Linked DNA regions of Rattus norvegicus. The protein of the gene in region 3 interacts with the protein of the main gene of each other region in a pairwise test. Links are inferred from orthologs where the notes say so. Each region holds a gene or a part of one and is shown on either strand. Other genes may lie near its edges.

Region 1 (5,322 bases), on a different chromosome or scaffold from region 3:
AGACATGGAGACAGTAGAATTCCATCAGTTCACCTGTGGGCATTTTCTCAAATATAGCTTGCTGTAAACCTCCAACTTTCTGTATTAATCTAGTATGACTAAAATAATTACCCTTTGCTGGGGGTCATCAATTTGATCTCTAAGGCCTGAGTCTATGCTTATATTTCTAACCCTTTCATACTAGAATACTACAAAAGGAAAACATTTGAGAGGGGTCAGTTTAAAATGATTCAGAAAGAGAAAAAAGAGAAAGAGAAAGGGAGAAGAAAGCAAGATAGGGGAAAGGAGAAGAGCTCGGTGAAAACTCTTAAGAATTTTTGTGATAAATTCCATCTCCTTGTAACTCTACTGCTTATCAATGAGACAGACACACAGAATTGCTGAAGGCCAGCCAGGGCTTGTTTAAACTGGTACTAGTCAAGTATGGATATTATCAAAGGAATCACAATTTATAATGTGTCAAACCATATGACCAGTTGACATAATTAAATGGTATTTACTAGCAACAGTTTGTTAGCATAATTACAAGGCTTAACTGTTAATTTTACTCCAACAATTCATTAGGAAAATAAGGGGCTAATTATGATAATTTAAAAAATTTATTAATACTATCTAAGCTTTTACTGGCTCTTAATCCAATACCTTTATTACAGAAAAAAAAAAGAATATAAGAATATAAGAAGAAAATAATGAAAAAAAATCAGGAAGGACAGGTGCATAATTTTTCTATTAAATGTGGATTTAGTCCAATCTTATGGCTTTTCATATTTAGACAAATCCACCCCAAAGATAAATGTTCAAATAACTAGTATGTTAGTTATTCATTAATGGGTTATAATTTGTTAGAATATAAGGATGATGCTTCATTTGTAACTGGTACTAAATCTTACATCAAGTTAAACAAAAAGAACTAGCACTAACAAGAATAATTAATACCAAGGAATACCCTGAATTCCTTAAATATAATTTTGTTAACATATGACTGGCAATTTCCAAACCAATTTTCTGGTTTAACTGATACGGACTCTGCAATTCTTGTCATCTGTGGAAAGAAGGAACAGACAAGAGGCAATATCATTTGGTGGGGGAGGGAGGGGGGAAACAGGCAGTTAGAAGTTCCTGACTTCCCAGTTAAATCATATAGATTTAACTAACACTATTAATATTAATTCCAAGTCACAAAAATAGCTATTTTACATTAGTTTTAAAATTCACATAATTATTATTATTATTTAAAAAAAAATCCTACAGTGTCAAACAAGATACTGGGTGGCTTAGAACTCCAAAGACTTACTAGTTAACATAGACTAACCTTTCCTGGTCATATCATCAAGTTCACAATACAACTCTGAGTTGTATTCTACATAAAGGAATTTGATGAGCAGTTTTTAATTCTTTTACAATACAGATTTATTGTATTATTTCTTCCAATTACACCTACTTCCATTCTTAACATTGGGTATAACAATACCATTTGTCATGTGTTCCAATCTTTGAAAACAAATCTTTTCTTCTTAATGGAAACGTGTAAGGCTGGCTTTCAAGATTTAGAAAATCCATTCCTTTTGTTTGTTTTGTGCCTGTCAGTATGCACATGTGTATGCATGTGTATGCATATGTGTGTGTGTAAAGGCCAAAAGGGGGAAATATTTGTGTGGAGGTCAGAGAACGTCAAGTATTAGTGTTTGCTTTCTACCGAGACAGGGTCTGGTTATTTTTCAGTTTACATATGAGGTTAGCTTCTGAGGATTCTTCTGTCTCTACTTTCTATCTTGCTTTAGAAAGTAGTATTACAAATGGAACTATCATATCCTGTTTTACATGTGTTCAAGAAATCCAAGCGTAAGCCCTCATGTTTGCACAACAAAATGTTTATCCAGTGAGTCATCTCCCCAACCCTAGAAAATTTATTCTTGTTCAAAAGAAAATTATCATTAGACAACCAAGATACCAATATTTTTGGTAAGTAGCAACAAAGTTGGAGTAATATAAATCAGAAATGTTAACATGATTCTATCTTTTTTATTCAAAGTTAAAGAATTCACTGAAATATAACACTCTGCAGCTTTTAGTTTAAGTCCAATTTTAAATAATAGTCAAACTTACCCGGACAAGTGCATCATCTATAATATGGTCACGTCTGACTTTAAGTCTCAAATATGGATTCAACTGCTGTCCTTGAACTAGGCTGTAAAGAACAGTGATTCTTCTTTCACTGTACATGCGAATTCTATTGTCATAATACAATCCCAGATTCTTTGTGACAGCATTCAATATAAAGGGACATGTCATAAAAGAGAATTTGTTCTCTGTTTCAACTTTGAAAAAAGTATAATCTTTGTCCATTTCTAGAACATCATTCAGTGGTTCATTAATGAATTCTTCAAAGGAGATAAGTGGTTTTCGACAATCTAGAGTTTTAACGCCAATTTCGGTTTCTAGTGGATCCACTCGAGGACCTTTCTTATTTCTTCTTTCCTCTCCCAGAAGCTCCTGAAGTGTCAATTCACTGGACTCAGGTATAGGCTCTTCATCATCTTCCTCATTATGATTTGTGTCCACGTCCCCTCCCACTACATTTGCATAGTAAACCATTTTCAAACACTTTGAAGCAGCAACAATGGCATCATCATCATTCACTAGATTTCGGCTATTAAATTCATTGCTTATGACTTTGTAGGTAATAAGTTGCTGAAATGTTTCCATCATTCTCCGAATCTGGTCAGCACTGTATTTAGACCACAGCCTAATCAGTTTTCCTTGAGCTGCAAGGGGTAGCTTACTCATAGCTTTGCAAAATAACGGCAATGCCATTTCCAGATATTCAGGACTGTGGAGATTCCTATTTTCCATTACAATAATGAACAAATTGAGATAATTAGGGTCTCGAGTGTACACATTATGATATGTCAAATCACATTCCACGTTAGGTGACAGATATACAAGTGCATTCAGGAAGGCAGTTTCTATTTTTTCATCAGAGAGCAAACTGCTGTAGACCCTTCTTATAGCATCAATATCCACAGTCACATCATCAGGACCTAATTTTTGTACATTGTTGTCTCCCTGTGAGCTATCACCCATCCTTGAAGAAGATGCTTCTGAGTCTTCTTCCATAGCAGCAGCAGAACACGCAGCTTTTTCCTTTTCATCTTCATCCTTGTCTTCATCCTTCTCTTGAAGAGATTTCAATTCCTCCTTAGTGTGCTGTTTGACTTTCCGAAAGCTCTGAACCAGTGCCTCAGCACTAGAAAATATTCTTCCAATTACACGAATTAAAGGGGAGTAATCCTCTCTCTCCCTACAAAATTCATAAATTTCATATACTTTCTCTTCAGTTAGGTAGTCCACCTCTAGAAAATGGAAAGAAAAAGAACATTTATTATTATAATATACATGTTTATTTTGTTATAATTTTTACTGAACAAATAAAATATCTAAACATTCTGAATTTGATTTAGAATTTTTAAAAAAATGTAATTTACTTATTAACACCCTAAAATCACCAGCTCCTTTTTTATTTAAGTAATCCCAACAACCTCACCCTTTCTTTGGCACTCATTCAACATATAATTATTAATTATGCATTGGTAATTTAAGACTTGCCTTGTAACCGAGACATGTACTGGTATGTAACATTTATTGTAGATATGAACAAATATATATATTTATCATTTCATCACTGTACTTTATTACAACCTTACCGAAAAGCTACTATGCTAATAACCTAAAATCATTTTCCTTTACATTGTTCTCAAAAAACTAAGGAGGCAAGGTTTTACAAGGTTTCCTCAACCCCTTCATTTGCAATCAACTCTTTCTATACTTTTGTATATCGTAAAATCAAACTGACTCATGTTATGTATTCTTCATTTCTTCCAGAGTTTTCATTCTGAAGCTGAGAAAAAGATATTACTACTCAAGTAAACTCTACTGAAGTTAAAACTGCTACTACAGCTACTACTACCTATGACCATTATTTGGGTTCTAATAACTCTTAACAGAGCAACTAGAAATTATTACAGTCATTCAAAAACAAATAAAAGGAAGAAGCTAAGAGAGTAAAGACCACAAGCACCAAAATTCATATCTATTTTTCTCCCAGGAACAGATTTGGACCATAAATCTCCTAGCTTAGGGAAATTACTTTCAACAAAGGCTTTACCATTTCGTTAACAAAACAAAAGATATTTTATCTAATTGGGAAAAGATGACATTTTATATACTAAAGTCTTACAAATTAATATATTTATCAAATAATAATGCTGAAGCCAAACTTAATCTCTTTCATCAAAGAGTAGCACACTAGAATTATTAAATTAAACATTGAAGGTAGTTTAATTTTTTTATTTACATTGACAATATATCCCATACATTGATAATATGTCTAACACATAAATATCTTTACTATGATTGGTACATTTATTAAAGGTACCTATTCAACAGTAAGAGACAATATAAAATTCAAGTCCTCATTAATAGAATGGCTTCCAAAACATAAACCACAAAGCACTGAACTGTATATACTACAAAACTGATCTATGGACTGTTCTAGAGTATTGACACTTACTTATTTTATGATCTTCAATTCTTTGTTTCAAAAAATGCTCTATTTACTTATTAGGGGTGATGAAGCTATGGAGTTGAATGGATAACTGAATGAGTTCATTTTCTCCTTCTATACTGTGAGTCCCAGGCATGAAACTCAGTTACATGTACCTAGCTGAGGCAGCATGGCAATCCAAGTTCAATTCTTTAGTCTACTAAGAAATGTAAGAAAACACTAACATGGAGCTGATTTCTCATTATTCTAATGGAAAAAAATTATGGTATCTTCTTTGACCATTTCTCTTAACTATAACCAAAACACAGAATCTATCTATAATGAATAAACAGCCTGTTAGAAGATAATGTTTTATCTCCCTATCACTAAATTATAAAATTGGTTGGAAAGTGCATGTTCTACATATAGAACAATAAATATACATCCTGCCTGAAGGAGAATAACACTCTGGATCCACACACCATTGACTTGCAATGTCTTCTTTCAGAGCACATTCATCAAATGACACTGACATCTAGGAATACAAACTACTATTAATCAATACTTTTTCCAGGTAGTACTCGACTTAAAATGTTTAAAATGTTTATCTCTATCATCTGTCTGTCTGTCTGTCTCTGTCTATCTCTGTCTCTATCTGTCTTTCTCTCTTTCCCTCCCTCCCTCCCTCAGCCCCACCCCCTCTCTCTGTGTGTGTGTGTGTGTGTGTGTGTGTGTGTGTGTGTGTGTAAAGCAATGCAATAGAAATAAAAAACGTTATA
Region 2 (5,322 bases), on a different chromosome or scaffold from region 3:
AAAGGGTTCACGTTATTTTGTCATTAACGTTTTTTCCAGCAGAGGGCGCAAGTGAAAAGGTCTATGAAGAAAGGTAAGTACCACCAAACTGCGCCCACCATTTGACAAGCCTTAAGGCCCTTCCAGGTATGTTATCTGAACCCTTTCAGAGACCTGACACTTACACTTCTCCTTAGACTTTTTGAGCTCTTTTAAAATCCTACAAATTACAGAGAGGACGCTGTCAACCTACTGCTGTCCAAACTGAGTCACCAGCATGAAACTTCCAGCTACTGTATAGATTTGTATACCATGGTGCAGGGCTAAAGTATGGACGCTACTCCATCTACTGAGCACAGAGGAGGGGCCCAGGAAAGGTCTGAACTTACATGCAGTCCTTAAGACTAGCTGGGCCAAAACAACACTCAACAGAAATCAATAGGACAGAGCCAGGGTTTTCAAGCACACATCATAATCCTCTCTCACACTCGCTGTACTAAGGCAGAAATCACTTTAGTAATTCAAAGACTGGAAATATAAACCACAGGAAAAAGATTTAGGGAAAAGCAGCCTACAAGAAAATATACAGTATTCTAGAGAGCTTCTTCTATTCCCCCATACTTTTCTCTGTAGCCATAATTAACATATAAAAAATCCAGAAGCCACCAAAAGCATAAATAACGTATCAGCAAACTGAAATAAGTTAAAAAGTCATCACTAGCATGACTGACCCAAACTCAGTGAAGAGAACATTGAGGAACCATGATTTACTCTTCAACCCGAGAAAACGGGATTCTAGAGCTAACACAAACTGTTACCAAAGCAACTTCCATATTTTCAATAGGAAAAATTACACATTACATTATGCATAGCCACAATCCAGATACCTCAGTTCTTCCTGTGTAACACTGGACAGCATTTTTGCGCATTGCTCCTAAGGCCTCCCACAGTGCAGTGTCCTGGTGCACACAGCTGAATCTTGTCTATCAACGTGCTCCTATGCTCGCCTAGGAGTTCTGAAGGAACCTCCCAGGTAGTTTTACATTCTTGAATTTAGATTTTATGGAAATTAGCAGGAGTATCAATGGGTAAAATAAAGTCACCAAATGCCTATCTGGACTTATAAAACCCCACTCAGCAGCCTTCCAGAAGCCCCGCTTCCCCTCGGGTGCACACATCACTAGTATCTATCTATTATAAGTTGCCTTCACCCTCGCCCAGGTCACTGGGGCTCCTGAAGACTGGACTGCAAACCTGCTTGATCTTAGCACTTCCACTGCTGGGCAATCATGATTTGAATTTGCATACACTCTCAAGGCTCTCTGCTATCAAAGCCTTAAGCTTGGGGGAAAAAATGGTTGCAGATACAATGTCATTGGATAGATGGCAGCTGAGCCTGAGGGGTTCCACAGCACAGTTCTGCGACCAACTCTAGCTGGAAGCAGAGGCAGGAGTGTCAACAGGAGGATGTTTCCACAGTTATGAACGTTAGTCACCTCCCTTTCTATAAACACTTCTGGAGCCATTCCTCCTTCCTGGCTCTCGACTTACAAAATAAGCTCAGGAAATCTTTTGCCTACCTCTTCCATCTCAAAGGAGTCTTTCTGCTGCACCATTATGTTTCTTATGGATGGGATTGTCAGGGTTGCACATGGCTCTTTCTCACTCGAGGACGCCTGGGCACTCTTCAGCTCACTGCTGCTCTCCAGCTCACAGAGGCTGGACATGCTGCCCCCGTCATGGCCAAAGTCAGGATCTGTAACAGCAGACTGCCGGAGCGCGTCATTCTGACTGTGAGCTTCTCCATTTTCTTCACTTTCCACCTTGTGGCTAATGTTACTCTCTGCTTCATCAGAAAGCCTGTCAGCATCAATGCTGTCTGTGATGGTCGAGGAACTGCCTGAGACTTCTTCTGTAACCGTAGCCAGCATTGAAGAGGACTCCTTCTTCTTTATAACCTTCTGAGGCTTTGGGTCACTCTTGCCGCCTCCACCATCTTCAGACAGTGAAACACTTAGACTCCTTCCTTTCTCAGCAGCGGGGGTAGAGCTCCCTTCTGCTTTCTCTGTTTTATCAACACACAAGTTTAGTTTTGAGAGTGTTTTCATCAGACGGTTTGCAGTGTTGCTTCGAGTCAGGGGAGGAGGGCAGTCTGCCGCCTCCTTGGTGGAGGTCACTGAGGACATACTTCCAATCCTCTGCAATGGGGTTCCAGAGACTTGGGAATACAGAGAAGAAAATGCATTGGCCACAGTAGTGAGGACTTCAATTTGACGAAAACGGCCTATGAAAAGAAAAAAGAAATGAGATGAATATGTTATACATACATGTTGTATGTTACATATACATAGAGTAAGCAAACCCTGTGCTTAAGTTATAGGTACATACAGTAAACACGTGCTGTTTAGAACTCTAGTAATTGAATTTAGATCCCGAATATTATAAAATCATATTTTTTTTCCTAAGCAAACATGTAAACCACAACAATCAGAGGGTAGGGAGGAAGAGGATTTTTACTGTAAAGATTAGAATACCTTAGAAAATTAGAAAAAAACTGATGATGGTACTGAACATAGCAGAACCAGCTATTGATCACTAGTTATGAATTATTTACTGTTTGGTCATGGACTCCATTAAGACTCTTGGAAATGCCTTCCTAGGAAAACACACATCGGGGTATAGCTGGATAGTAGACTTAAAGCACACATAAGGTTGATCCATAGACAACCTGGGAGGAGTCTCGCTTTGAGGCACTATTTAACAGAAAAACAAGCAGAGACAGGAGTAAAAAGATCCAATTGGCCAAGTTATTTTAGATTTACAGAAAGCACTTGAAATGAACTGATTTCATTTAAAATTAGCAAAGCCCCTCCCCTACTTCTTTCTTTCTTGAACAAATGCAATTTGGAGATAAACAACAGGTTTTGCACATAAATTACGAAGAGTTGGTGATGAGGAGGAAAGAATAGTGTCTATAGCTAGAATAATTAATTCAGAATGAGTAAAAGACCTAGCCTATTATTGACCTTGTTGTTAAAATGTCAGATACAAAAACAAGGATCATCTGGCCAGTTGTAAACTCTCAAACAATGCATGAGCGTCAGACCCTTACTTGTCAGAGCGTAATTTGGGTTCTCCACTTCCATCCGCTGCATTTGCGCACTCAAAAACACTTTAATGTCTATGCCTCTGGCAAAGGATGACGAATTAAAAAATCTGGAAGGAATTTTAGAAGCAATATCTGGTTCATCTCGTCCAAATCCAAGATTATATAGAATTTCTTCAGGATCTTCCTCGTAAAGCTCCAGCAGTTCTGAAACACTACAACAAATGAAGAAGATATAGAGACGCTCAGTGTGCATGTCAATCAGTCCACAGCCCCACTTCCACTCCCTTGGCTCCTGGGCTTTACAGTACAATGTCTTTCCGTATCTCCTGATACTATGCACTCATGGGATACACAATCCTTACAAAGGATACGTAGGCACATTTTCTCAGGAAACCAGTGTTGGAAAATCAGAAACAGAAGCCCGAGGGCCTAACCCCTAAGAACGAAGCAGACCCTCTAAGGGACTGCTCACCTTATCTTTTTAAGGATTCTCCAGAAAAGCCATCCAGACCAGGCATGATAAAGAAAGAACGGATTAAGAAAAACATCTCAGGAAGCTGGTACAGCTCAGGTACTGAGGGGCCAGCCGAGAAACCTAAGCTTTGCAGACACTATTTTTTTTCCTATACGAGGCAACTATCTTAGCAGGAGCAATGAAGGAGACAAGCTGGGGTCAGAAAGCCAGTGGGGAGCTTCCCTCCAGCTCTTCTCTCCCCACATCCACGAAGGAAGGAGGAGGAGTAAGGTGAGGAGGACTGGTTTAACACATGGAAAACAAATCTAGCCTTAAGTATTAAACTACTAATTGTGGAAGTTTTTGCCGCTTTCTACATCAGAGTTCCTTAAGCCACTCTCCAGTGAGTTCTGGTTCCTTATGAGTAGCAGTTACTCCACTATGGAGTTTACTCCAAGACTCTAGTCCTGTTATGAACACAGTTACTGCCTTCTACTTGGTGAGTTACAGGTGCGGTTGGTTTTGACATAAGAAGCTCCTGTCAGTTTTGATGATCTAGGAAACACTTGGGGACTTTTGATTCACACTCTGCATCAAATAAAAAACAAGAAGGTGAAAGGATCATCAATACCATATGGTCACAGTTTCACCAGTACTAACCTTGACACAGTACCACTGCTTTTCCCAGACCCAGTGGAATTCATACTTCTCCCTTTCTGATGAAACTGAAGTCTTCTCTCTTTGGCCAAGATATTGTTGCTATAAATATAATTCGATACTTTAAAACTTGGTTTTCTATGATCCTTTTTCACTTTTAGAAAGGAGTAGACTCAAACAGATACATACCAGTTTTCAACTTGAGCATCAGGTTCATGTAGGTGATTGGCTACAAGTAATAAACAGACAGACAGACAAACAGAGAGCACAGCCGTTAGAGGGAAAGGACACAGTTATGGAGCAGACAGGTTATCTACATTGTCATGGTTGGCTTGTTAAATAGCCACTACTGATCCCACTGGACAGCCAGGCAATAACTAGGCCAGCAACTTTTGGAGGATGCTTGTATTTTCTGGCAATGCAAAACTACTTCTATCTGCATGCTTAAAAATTAAAAAAAAATCTATAAAGAATCAATTAAATTTCTGGAACCAGGTAGACTTGTAATGAGGGAGTCTGTATATAGTGTATATAGTGCTATTAAATTTCAAAGCTGTCAATCAGGAACATCTTAAAAGTAAATGTGACTGGGTGCCATTAAGGAGAACCAGAATATTCACATATTTCTTATGTGCTTTTAAAGTTAGTGTCAGCCTTTAGTGCGTAATGTGAAATGCTCTACACCTTTCAATGTAATGTTTCCTTTAAAACTTCCTCTCAGCTTTAACAAGGTCAAAGCAAACAGTAGCCAATATTTAGTTAATTTCATCATGACTGTAGAAAAATAAAATGAATAGGATTAATAACCAAAATGTCTACGACAGCAGTTGACTTTTTAGTTTCTGATGTGCAAAACTGTGAGAAGTTTTTGCTTCTTTGTACTTCCTACCAATGATATCGCTTGTTACCATGAAAGGCCCCAGGCAGATATGAAGGCATCCAATGCATTACTTACAGGGGAGCTGATGAGCATCTCCATAAAGGACTGACACGACTTTTAAGAGCACTGACTTCAAATAAGGAAGTTCAAGTTTTTGATTATTCTTTGAAAAACATGACAGAGCTAATAAAAAAATGTAGTCTAAACTTTCTGATGCTAGAATGTTCTAAATACATAACTCAT
Region 3 (4,721 bases):
TTGGCCTAGAACAGACTCAAAGTCACACATAGCTGGCCAGGTATCTTCTTCCAGACTGTGTGCTTACGAATAGGACAACAGTCTCCTGTCTGTTCCCTCCTTGTCCTTTAATGGTTTTACATTTTGTGTATAAACCTTACACACTACAATCAGGATAGTCTCTTGTGAGGCACTGGCTGTGTCAGCTGGGTGTCACGCTGTCAACAGCAGTCTAACAAGGCTCAGGGCAGAGCTGCTCCTTGACCTTCTCACTCTGCTTAGGACACTCTTTCCTGCACTCACCCCATAATTCCAATGGATGAGAGGAGCATTCAATCAGGAGCCCCTAAAAGTAGTGACACACCTAGGCCTAAGGTCTACTTTAAATACCACCTCATCACTTCAACGCAAGCCTAGACAACATGTAAGACTTAGTGCTAGTTTTCTTCTTGCTTTGCCTAGAATTTGTATTTCTCCTGCCTAAGCTTCCCACCAACTAAAATAACAGCTGTGTGTCACCATGCTCAGCAAGTAAAATAAATTTTTAGCTTACTGAGGACCATAATCAAGGTCTTACACACCGCAGGTAAGCACTTTTCCAACAGCTACACTCACCCCCCCCCATATATTCTTACAATTAGAAATTAGCTAACGAATCAAGTGCTTCATATTTGACGTCTTTTCTTTCCTTTGGGCAGGATGCAGCTCAGTGGTATTCACCTAGTGTATAGAAGGCCCAAATCCCACCTCCAGCATGCACAGCAAGTCAATTCCATATTAACCCTTGCTTATTTTTAAGTCTCTTAAGTTTGTAGACAACCCCAGTTAGAGTTAGTAAAATAATTTTAGCTACAGACTTTAACAGGAAGTAAAACACATAAAGAATGGACAAGTCTCTTAGACAAATTGAACACACACAGAAAAGTAGCCCATAGACCAGAGACACTCATTTCTACCTTTTCCCCGAAACACAGCAAATGCTGGGTAACTTTTTCACCCAAGCCTCAAAACTTCAAATTACTACTCATCTGAAGAAGGAAAAACCCAAGAAGCCAACCATAAGCATGGCTTTATTGGGATCCTATTTAAATAATAAATAACCATTTAAATGAATTTTCAAGAACTGTTGTTTTAGTTTGGTTAAGACAATGGTATATATGGGGTTCATGTTCAAACCTTCAGCACAGCAGAGCATCAACCCCACCTTTCCCTGGGCTAGAGACCAGGCAAGCAAGGGGTGCACTTGTTCCCACCAAACATGCACAACACTAAAGGACAAGAAAACCAACTTCAAAGACAAGTTAGACACCAATAGTAGCAAGTTTACTTTTTTTGTTGTTGGGTTTTTGTTTTTTGGAGATAGAATCTTGTCATGTAGCCTAGGCAAGCTTGTCACTAAGTAGTCCAGGCTAGCCTGTAACTAACTCATGATTCTTCCTCCACCACAAGAAACCTGGATACTTCTGCTGAGTAAGCACATGACTGACTCTGGGGTGAAAAAAATGAAACTACTCAAGACTTGAAACAGAAAGGAGTAACTTAGGATAAGTTAAGCCCAAAAGGTATCTATCTCTCATAAGTACTGGCAATGTTCTCAATAAGGTAGTTTTCTTCTTGGTAAGCTTGTAAACAGTAGATAGGACGCTATATTCAGTTATCTGGCCACACCCTTCAGACTGTCTTAGGTACTCACTGTCAAGTTGTCTCTCAGTAACTGCATTATTAGCGTGCTGTCTTTGTACGACTCTTCACTTAATGTATCAAGTTCAGCAATGGCTTCATCAAAAGCCTACAAATGCAAAACAAAGTACACCTTAGAATTCAAATAATGAACACTGCCCAATTCCCAAGTAACAGGTAAAATACATACTGTTTTTGCAAGAGAGCAGGCTTTCTCTGGGGAGTTCAGGATCTCATAGTAGAACACAGAGAAGTTGAGGGCCAGACCCAGTCTGATGGGGTGTGTCGGCTGCATCTCCTTTTTGCTGATTTCAAATGCTTCTTGGTATGCTTGCTGTGACTGGTCCACAATTCCTAGATAATGCAACACAGTGAAATGGACTTTCAAATTCTATGCTGCAGCTTAAGCCAAACTTTTCATTTAAGATTGCATGTGTCCTCTGAAATATACGCTCTGACAGTCTTATCCAAATTATACTCTTTAAAACAAACAATGCTGTCCTGGATCACACTAGTCACTCGCTGTTGTCAAGAGAAAAGCAACTCAGAGTGGAGCTGAGTTGAAATGATAACTCTGAGGCAAAGAACACTGGCTACTTTTCCCAGTCTGGTTTGATTCCCAGCACCCTAGGGACAGCTTACAACAGTCTGTAACTGCAATTCCGGGGGATCCAATCGCGCTGCTCTGACCTACAACAGTATCGGACACATGTGCCCAAACACATGCAGGCAAACACTCATACACACATCCATCTGATCACCATCTTGTGATTTCCTCATTCTACTCTGAGGTTAACCTCTGTTAACATCGAGGAGACATTCTTATACAAACAGCTTTTCAGAAAGCTTCAAGTTCAAAATACTAACAGGCAAAAACACAAGACAAAAAGAAAGAGTGCTCAGTTCTCTAAGTAACATAACAGAAAAGAAGATGTATATAAGCTCAACCAAGCAAAACCAGCTCACCTTTCTTGTCATCACCAGCAGCAACCTCAGCCAAGTAGCGGTAGTAGTCACCCTTCATTTTCAAATAGAAGACTTTGCTTTCTGGCTGCGAAGCATTGGGGATCAAGAACTTTTCCAAAAGAGACTTCAGAAGAAAAGAAACAGAAATATTAAGACAATACTTACAAATCAAAGTAAAGTATTTTTCTTAAGCAAACACTATAGACTCAGTTGTAAAAGATTTCAAAACAAAACCTTAGTTTTTCTAACAGCACAGCATTCTAGAGTGCTGGTGCAGGAGGACTGTGGTGGATGAGGACCAAGCTCGACTGCAAACCAATGCTGTCTCAAAAGTGTAGTAAATCAATAAGCAACTCAAGGCAGGGAAAGGCCAGATGAAAAAAAAACACTTGTTAATTTCAGCATAGCAATTGGTCTTATCTACAGATCATCACAAATGGTAAAATTTCATCCTGTAGCTTTGCTTAAAACTATTAACAACTTAAAGCTTACTGGAATTGTCACACACCAAATAAAACCAACCTTTTATAGCTAATTTCAAGTAGATGATGTAACTGCATTGGAGAGAAAAAGGTAGAACTGAGTGAATTTAAAAACAAACCAGTCTCTTACCATACCCACTCCCTTGGATACCTCTGCTTTGAAATCAAGGTGATGTTCCTGCTCATCTGGGCTGAACCCCAGATGAGCCAATTCTTCCAAGAGTACTTAGATTCTGGTTTTTATTCTCTGAAAAGATTTGAGTATCTATTATCTAATGATGGGGGACATAAGTGAATACACTTGAATCCTGCTGCCTACTCTATGAATGTAGACAGGTCATAAAGATACAGTTAACTGAGTGACCACCCCTCATAAAGTACATGATTGGCAGCTGGCGTGGGCACCTTTGTAATCTCATCACTTAAAGGCAACACAGAAGCATTCTGAGTTCAAGCATAGATTGTACTACTCATGGAGAGACCCTGCCTCTAAAAACAACCCCCCCCCAACAATAACACACTACCCAAAGGGCTAGAAACGTGTCTCAGTGACCTTGCACTGGCCCAGCAAAGCCACAGAATCAACTTGAGTGTGTGGAGGGTGCAATGTAAAAACCTAAAGTTATGACAGAAACTCCTTTAGGCAGTATTGATAAATGTTAGTGGGAATTAGCAACCTACTTTTTATCAGTAATTTCTGTATTCCTAGAAACCACGCTGAGCAGGGCTGTGGCCACACATCTTTAATCTAGCACTGGAGAAGCAGAGGAGCCAGTTCGTGAGCTCCAGGTGAGTGTAGCTAGAGCCAAGTGTCAGGACAATCAGAGCTACAGAGACCTCTGAAAAACCAAACCAAACCAACCCCCCCACCTTACTGAAGATTGCAGGAACAGACCCAACAGCAATCCCTCAGCCTCAACACTGAAGTGACTCACTTCATTAATTTTCAGAGTGCCAACCAAGTAACCACAATGTCTAAACCTCTCTTAAAAGGACCCCATGAACAAAACCATCTAGTTGGATGCACACCCACATTTTCTGGGGATAATCACAGGCTTCCAGAACCATGAGTTTTTCATTTAAACCAACAGCAGCCAAAAACATCTGAAAAAGTCACTTTCAACTTATAACAGGTCCACCACATGTATGGGGCCTGGGAATCTACTCATGTCAGTGACAGCAGCATCTCCCCATCTTCCTTACAGAAAAAGCCGTCAACACAGGGGTTACAGTAACTTCCTAGTTCCAAGGACTATACAATCTTTTTTATTTAAAAACTGTGAGCACATAGCAGTAAAGGATTCAATGAATCCTGCCTTGTCTTGCTTCCTGATAAGGAAGTTTAGCTGTTATTTTTGGACAGTAAGTGCTGATGTTCAAAACAGCAGTGAGGATAGCAAGAGCTCAGCTTGGCAGTCAGGAAGCTCTTCCAGAGGACCCAAGCTCAATTCCCAGAACCCACATGGCAGCTCCTTAACTTTTGCAACTTGTGTTTTAGGGGAATCTGGCCACCCTTGTCACCCTTGTCCACCAGGCATGTACATGGTGTAACCACATGCATAAAAAACAAAACAGCCCACACAGAAAACAAGAAGACAGTAGACAATAATGCTG
Region 4 (4,515 bases), on a different chromosome or scaffold from region 3:
TAAGACTGATCTTGTAGGTGACAGTCAATACTCAAAAGTATCTGAGTGGACAGCCGAGGCCGAGGCGGAAGGAAGGCCTGCCTCTCCAAAGCTCAAAGCTCTGAGACTGCACAACGGAATCAGTCCAAGGGAGTGAGGCCACTGGTGGCTTCTATCCTCACTGCCGCAGTGCAGAGGGCTGGAGAGCTCTTCCTGGCTTTACCCACAACCAGAGCCCTTTCTATAACACTGCCCTCCTTCCCTCCCTCCCTCCCACCCTCCTCAAACACCTGCAGATTGCCCCAACCAGAATTTCAACTATCCGTGAAACATAACTAAGATGTCTAAATGCATATGCTCAAGGCTACCATTTCAACAGTAAACTAGGAGCGAAGGAAACACTTATCAAGACACACTCTGCTACACACTACCACAGACATCAGAAGAGTGTGTACATACGTAGAGAGGAGACAGCCAAGATTTAAATAGGATGTTAAAAAGTCGAGAAATATAGATTTCCCCCAAAAGAATGGTACTGCCCACCCCAAGCTACAGCTATGAATGACTTCATTAAGTTGCCTACGTTCCACCAAAACCAACCACAGAAAAGAAAACAGAAAAACCAACCAAAACACCCACAGAAAATATCCATTCAAACCTAACCTAGAGTATGTGGCATAATTAATGTATTTCTATGGAAACTGTCCCATGCCTCATGAGCTTCTAAGATAAAATCCAGGTCACTATGTGCCTAATGGTATGACTAAAAAAAGAAACAGGAAGTCCATCAGTCTTCGGCATGGGTCTTTGCCATCTTCCGGTCTTCCGTGAGATCAGATGCCACGCGTCTGGCTTGTTGGACCCAAGGGCCAAAGGCAGCTGAAGAAACCGTGTCTTGAACAGACGCATAAAGCATTTCAGACCCAGCCTGGGGTTCAGTTGAGGATGGGTGAAGACCAGTGGAGGAGGCCGGGCATCTGTTATCGACAGGCTCCCCACAACCCAGAGAGCACAGCTGCCAGAGCAAAGGAAACAAAGGGCTCTGGCTATTTGTGGTTCTGGTTCTTTAGGGGTGGCCGTGAAGAGGTCAGCAACCTAAGAGCAGCAATGGCAGAGAAGAGCAGAGCAACAGTGGATGATCCCCGCTGGACACTGGTCACCTGTTCTGTGTTAGCCAGAGAATCACCCACTGGCTTATCTGAATGCAGGAGTGCACACCTTAGGCTCTGTGGATCCTTCACAGACCCGGAGAGTGGCTCCGGACAGCTCTATAACCACGTGAGAAAGCTTTCTTTATCTAACTTGGTGGCAGCCAACACAGACTCCACATCCAGGATTTCGGAACTCAGCGCTTCCTGAAGGCTGGGCATCAGCTCCTCCCCTTCTATGTTCATTGCATCTCCTTCCAGTGTGCCAAGGTCCACATTTGTCCCAGGGAGGGCCTCCAGGTAATCAGGGAAGCGGCTCTGCTGGGACGGCAGGGTGCTCTGGCTGATGGTGTCTCCTAGTTTTGGGGAGGGAACAAAATGTTTTGTAAGAAGCTTCAGAGCTGCCCCTGTGAGCACAGCCATGGGAAACAGAAACACCCAGCGTCTGTCTACCTTAGAAAACCACACACAGAGACCACTTGGTAACAGTGCCAAGTTTCACGTGCCTCAGCCCTTCAGTCATGCAGTACAGATCATGGCCTGGCTGCGCACTACGAAGGGCTACCTGATGGGTTGTGAAGAACTGACACTCACTCCCTTGGAATTCTATATGCAGCAGTGAGAAATGACAACCATGCCTTCTCTCTTTCTCCTAGGAATGCACCACCATTTCTAGGTCATTTACATATTAAGATGGAGCGTCTTCTGTCTCTCGTTGTACTCTGGGACACTAACATTCAGCACTGTAGACAGTACTCTGAGTCACACACGCCATAGAGGAAGAACATTCCCAGGAGTCCTTGAAGGCAAGTGGCCCTCTCGCCCCCCAGACTTCTTTCTAAATCACTTACCTGCCTAGAGAACTTTTATCTATGTTAGCACTCCTCCTTGGAGCTTTGCCAGAACTTACATTCAGAAAAACAATCGGCCTTTCTGGTACAAGGGGGCCAGAGAGGTGAGCCATGAGAGTGGGTGGGAGGGGCCAGGATGGGGCTAGACATGAAGTAGGCCCAAGAGGCTCCTAAAGAAGATTTCTGACCTAGGTGAACTCAGAGAAAGCAGGGCACAAGTTCTCACCTTCATGTGTCAGATAAAGTCAAGCTCCGAAGACTTCCACACTTTGGAGAAAATGTATCACTGTCCTGTGCTCTCTCCAGCCCCAAGGCAGAGGTCTTAGCTCCTCAATACTCGTGCAACTATTTCAACTATAAAGTCAGTAAGTCTTACTCTAGGCCCCCTCCCCGCAAATATGGCTTCCCAGCCCCGTAACACTGTTAACAACGCAGCTGAACCCAAAGTATTCAGAGGAAAGAGAAAAACAGTGGGTCACAAAAAAATTACTCAAAATTAACAACACAGATCTAAAACAAGAAACTTCTAATAGGCCCAACTAACACGTTAAAACAGAACAGGCTCAAAAGCTGGCCGGCCACTGAGGAAGCTGGGCAGGAGGGCCATGAGTCATCTCAAAAAGAAAAGAAAAACCAGTGTGTCAGCCTGTGCCTGAATCCAGGCTAGCCTGTGCTAGCTCCAGTGGAATCGGAACTAAGAAGGAAGGAGGAACACAGCTAATGACCACCCACGCTGAAAGTGAATCAGTACTTGCCTGTGTCCATTTCATCCACGCTGTTCAGGAAGTCGTCTGGGGTCCGAGGGATGCTGTAGCTGCTCATGCTGAGGCCACTGTCTGTGCTCTCATCTCTAGAGTGATAGGTGCCACTGTGAAAATAGTGAAGACACACAGGAAGATTCCATCAACTTGGCAAAGGTGAACACATGTTAAGCGAGACCATGATTCTTAGAAGAACAGTGAGTAGTCCTGGCCTTGCAGTGCTCTTCAGAGCCCAACAGCCTCTGACTTAGAATGGGATAGACACACTGCTCCTAACTAAAGTGACAACTGCTAAAGACAGAGGTATCTGAAGGTTGAGCTTGGTGGCAACTGAGAGAAAAAAAGTGACAAGCCCCATTACCTATTTTGAAGCTTGGGGTCTTCAAGGTCTCAAGTCCCAAACCCAGGGGTCAAAACCACATTAGGCTCATGTCCAATTCCCACCTCCCAAGGCACCAGAGTTTAGCGAGGGATAGCCACGCACAGCAAGTCAGGGAAGTGACTGAAGAGTCCCAAGTCACTGAAGGCAGAATCCCCACAACTCGACTTTCTTGTCACACTGGGGGAGGGGACACCCAAATACAGCGCAGACAAGAGGCCCAAGGTTCTGAAGAGAAGGGACAAAGCAGAGCCCTTAGGAGAAAGGAGCCAACGTGCAATTTTACTGTAAGGTGGAATGGAAAGCCTCAAGGTTGATTCAAGAGCAACAGAAAACAACCTTGAAGCGTCCTAAAGAGAATGGCTGATAATAGGGGCTCTAACCTGAATTCTACTAACACTGAAAGAAACCAACAAACCAATAACCCCCAATCCTGAGGGCGACGGCTACGCTTATGGCTTCTGATCACAAATGTAGACTGACTTTCTTACATGATGGACATTTAAAGTGTTTGTTTAAAAAACCAAAACACCTCCACCAGATCCCAGGTCAGCAGTACAAGTATGTTTGAGCCCAACCTTCTAATGAATTGTTTGATGCATTCGGCCCATTCTCTCCCTCATCACTCTACACGACAACTGTTGCTTTATGCCAACAAGTCTGAAACATTCAGAAGCCTCACACAAATGCAAGACACAAACTTGCCCGAGACTGTTGGTATATAACATAGCCATACTTCATGGAACCTCAGCCCTGAGCTGCTGTAGCCACAGCAGCAGCTGAGGGAGGGAAGAAGGGCTTTGAAGGCGAAGAGGAAGAAGCCTGAAAAGTCAGCAGCAACGCTTCTTCGAGGGGAGGTCAGAGACAGGTGGGACTCGGACCTTGAGGCAGTGCTGAGACTCACTATTGAGCAGAGCAGACATCAAGAGACTTTTTCAAGAAAAAAAAAGTGGGGCTGGAGAGATGGCTCAGCGGTTAAGAGCACCGACTGCTCTTCCAGAGGTCCTGAGTTCAATTCCCAGCAACCACATGGTGGCTCACAACCATCTGTAATGGGGTCTGATGGCTTCTTCTGATGTGTCTGAAGTATACTCACATGCACAGAGATGGACAGCACAGGGGGCAGAGGGCTCTGGAGAAGGGCCATCTCCATTCTGCAATTTCAGAGACCCTTAGGCTTTAGCACAAAGCTGGTCAGAGGTCTGAAGGGCTGTCACATATCTCTGCCTATTGCTTCCCTGCTTTTGAGACTCTGATTCTATCCTCAGATAAGCCTTTAACAAAAGAGATACTTGAAAAGCTCTGGAATTCTTCCTCTGGGGGATTCTGTTGTATGGCCCCTTATCTAGTTACAGTTTAAAATTACAAGCGTGGGTAAATAGACTTGAGTTTAGATA

Evidence for each region. The genes of interacting proteins can lie anywhere in the genome.
Region 1: the proteins of Ywhaz (region 3) and Ube3a interact in a two-hybrid assay, tested with the Homo sapiens proteins (2 studies listed by BioGRID and IntAct, with this or other methods). The link is inferred for Rattus norvegicus from reciprocal best matches to the Homo sapiens genes YWHAZ and UBE3A.
Region 2: the proteins of Ywhaz (region 3) and Itprid2 interact in a two-hybrid assay, tested with the Homo sapiens proteins (2 studies listed by BioGRID and IntAct). The link is inferred for Rattus norvegicus from reciprocal best matches to the Homo sapiens genes YWHAZ and ITPRID2.
Region 4: the proteins of Ywhaz (region 3) and Yap1 interact in binary tests that used the Homo sapiens proteins (3 or more experiments, as listed by UniProt). The link is inferred for Rattus norvegicus from reciprocal best matches to the Homo sapiens genes YWHAZ and YAP1.

What each region holds. Positions count from the first base shown.
Region 1 is NC_086019.1:119,260,739-119,266,060, reverse strand, and holds part of Ube3a (ubiquitin-protein ligase E3A), read right to left. Parts: intron 4,075-5,322; exon of another isoform or gene 3,883-4,074; intron 3,354-3,882; coding exon 2,107-3,353; intron 1-2,106. UniProt on the Homo sapiens protein: E3 ubiquitin-protein ligase which accepts ubiquitin from an E2 ubiquitin-conjugating enzyme in the form of a thioester and transfers it to its substrates.
Region 2 is NC_086021.1:84,949,223-84,954,544, reverse strand, and holds part of Itprid2 (protein ITPRID2), read right to left. Parts: intron 4,429-5,322; coding exon 4,389-4,428; intron 4,302-4,388; coding exon 4,203-4,301; intron 3,301-4,202; coding exon 3,092-3,300; intron 2,264-3,091; coding exon 1,560-2,263; intron 1-1,559.
Region 3 is NC_086025.1:69,828,173-69,832,893, forward strand, and holds part of Ywhaz (14-3-3 protein zeta/delta), read right to left. Parts: intron 2,750-4,721; coding exon 2,626-2,749; intron 2,014-2,625; coding exon 1,850-2,013; intron 1,769-1,849; coding exon 1,673-1,768; intron 1-1,672.
Region 4 is NC_086026.1:13,381,832-13,386,346, forward strand, and holds part of Yap1 (transcriptional coactivator YAP1 2), read right to left. Parts: intron 2,847-4,515; coding exon 2,734-2,846; intron 1,484-2,733; coding exon 1,248-1,483; 3' UTR 1-1,247. UniProt on the Homo sapiens protein: Transcriptional regulator with dual roles as a coactivator and corepressor. Critical downstream regulatory target in the Hippo signaling pathway, crucial for organ size control and tumor suppression by restricting proliferation and promoting apoptosis.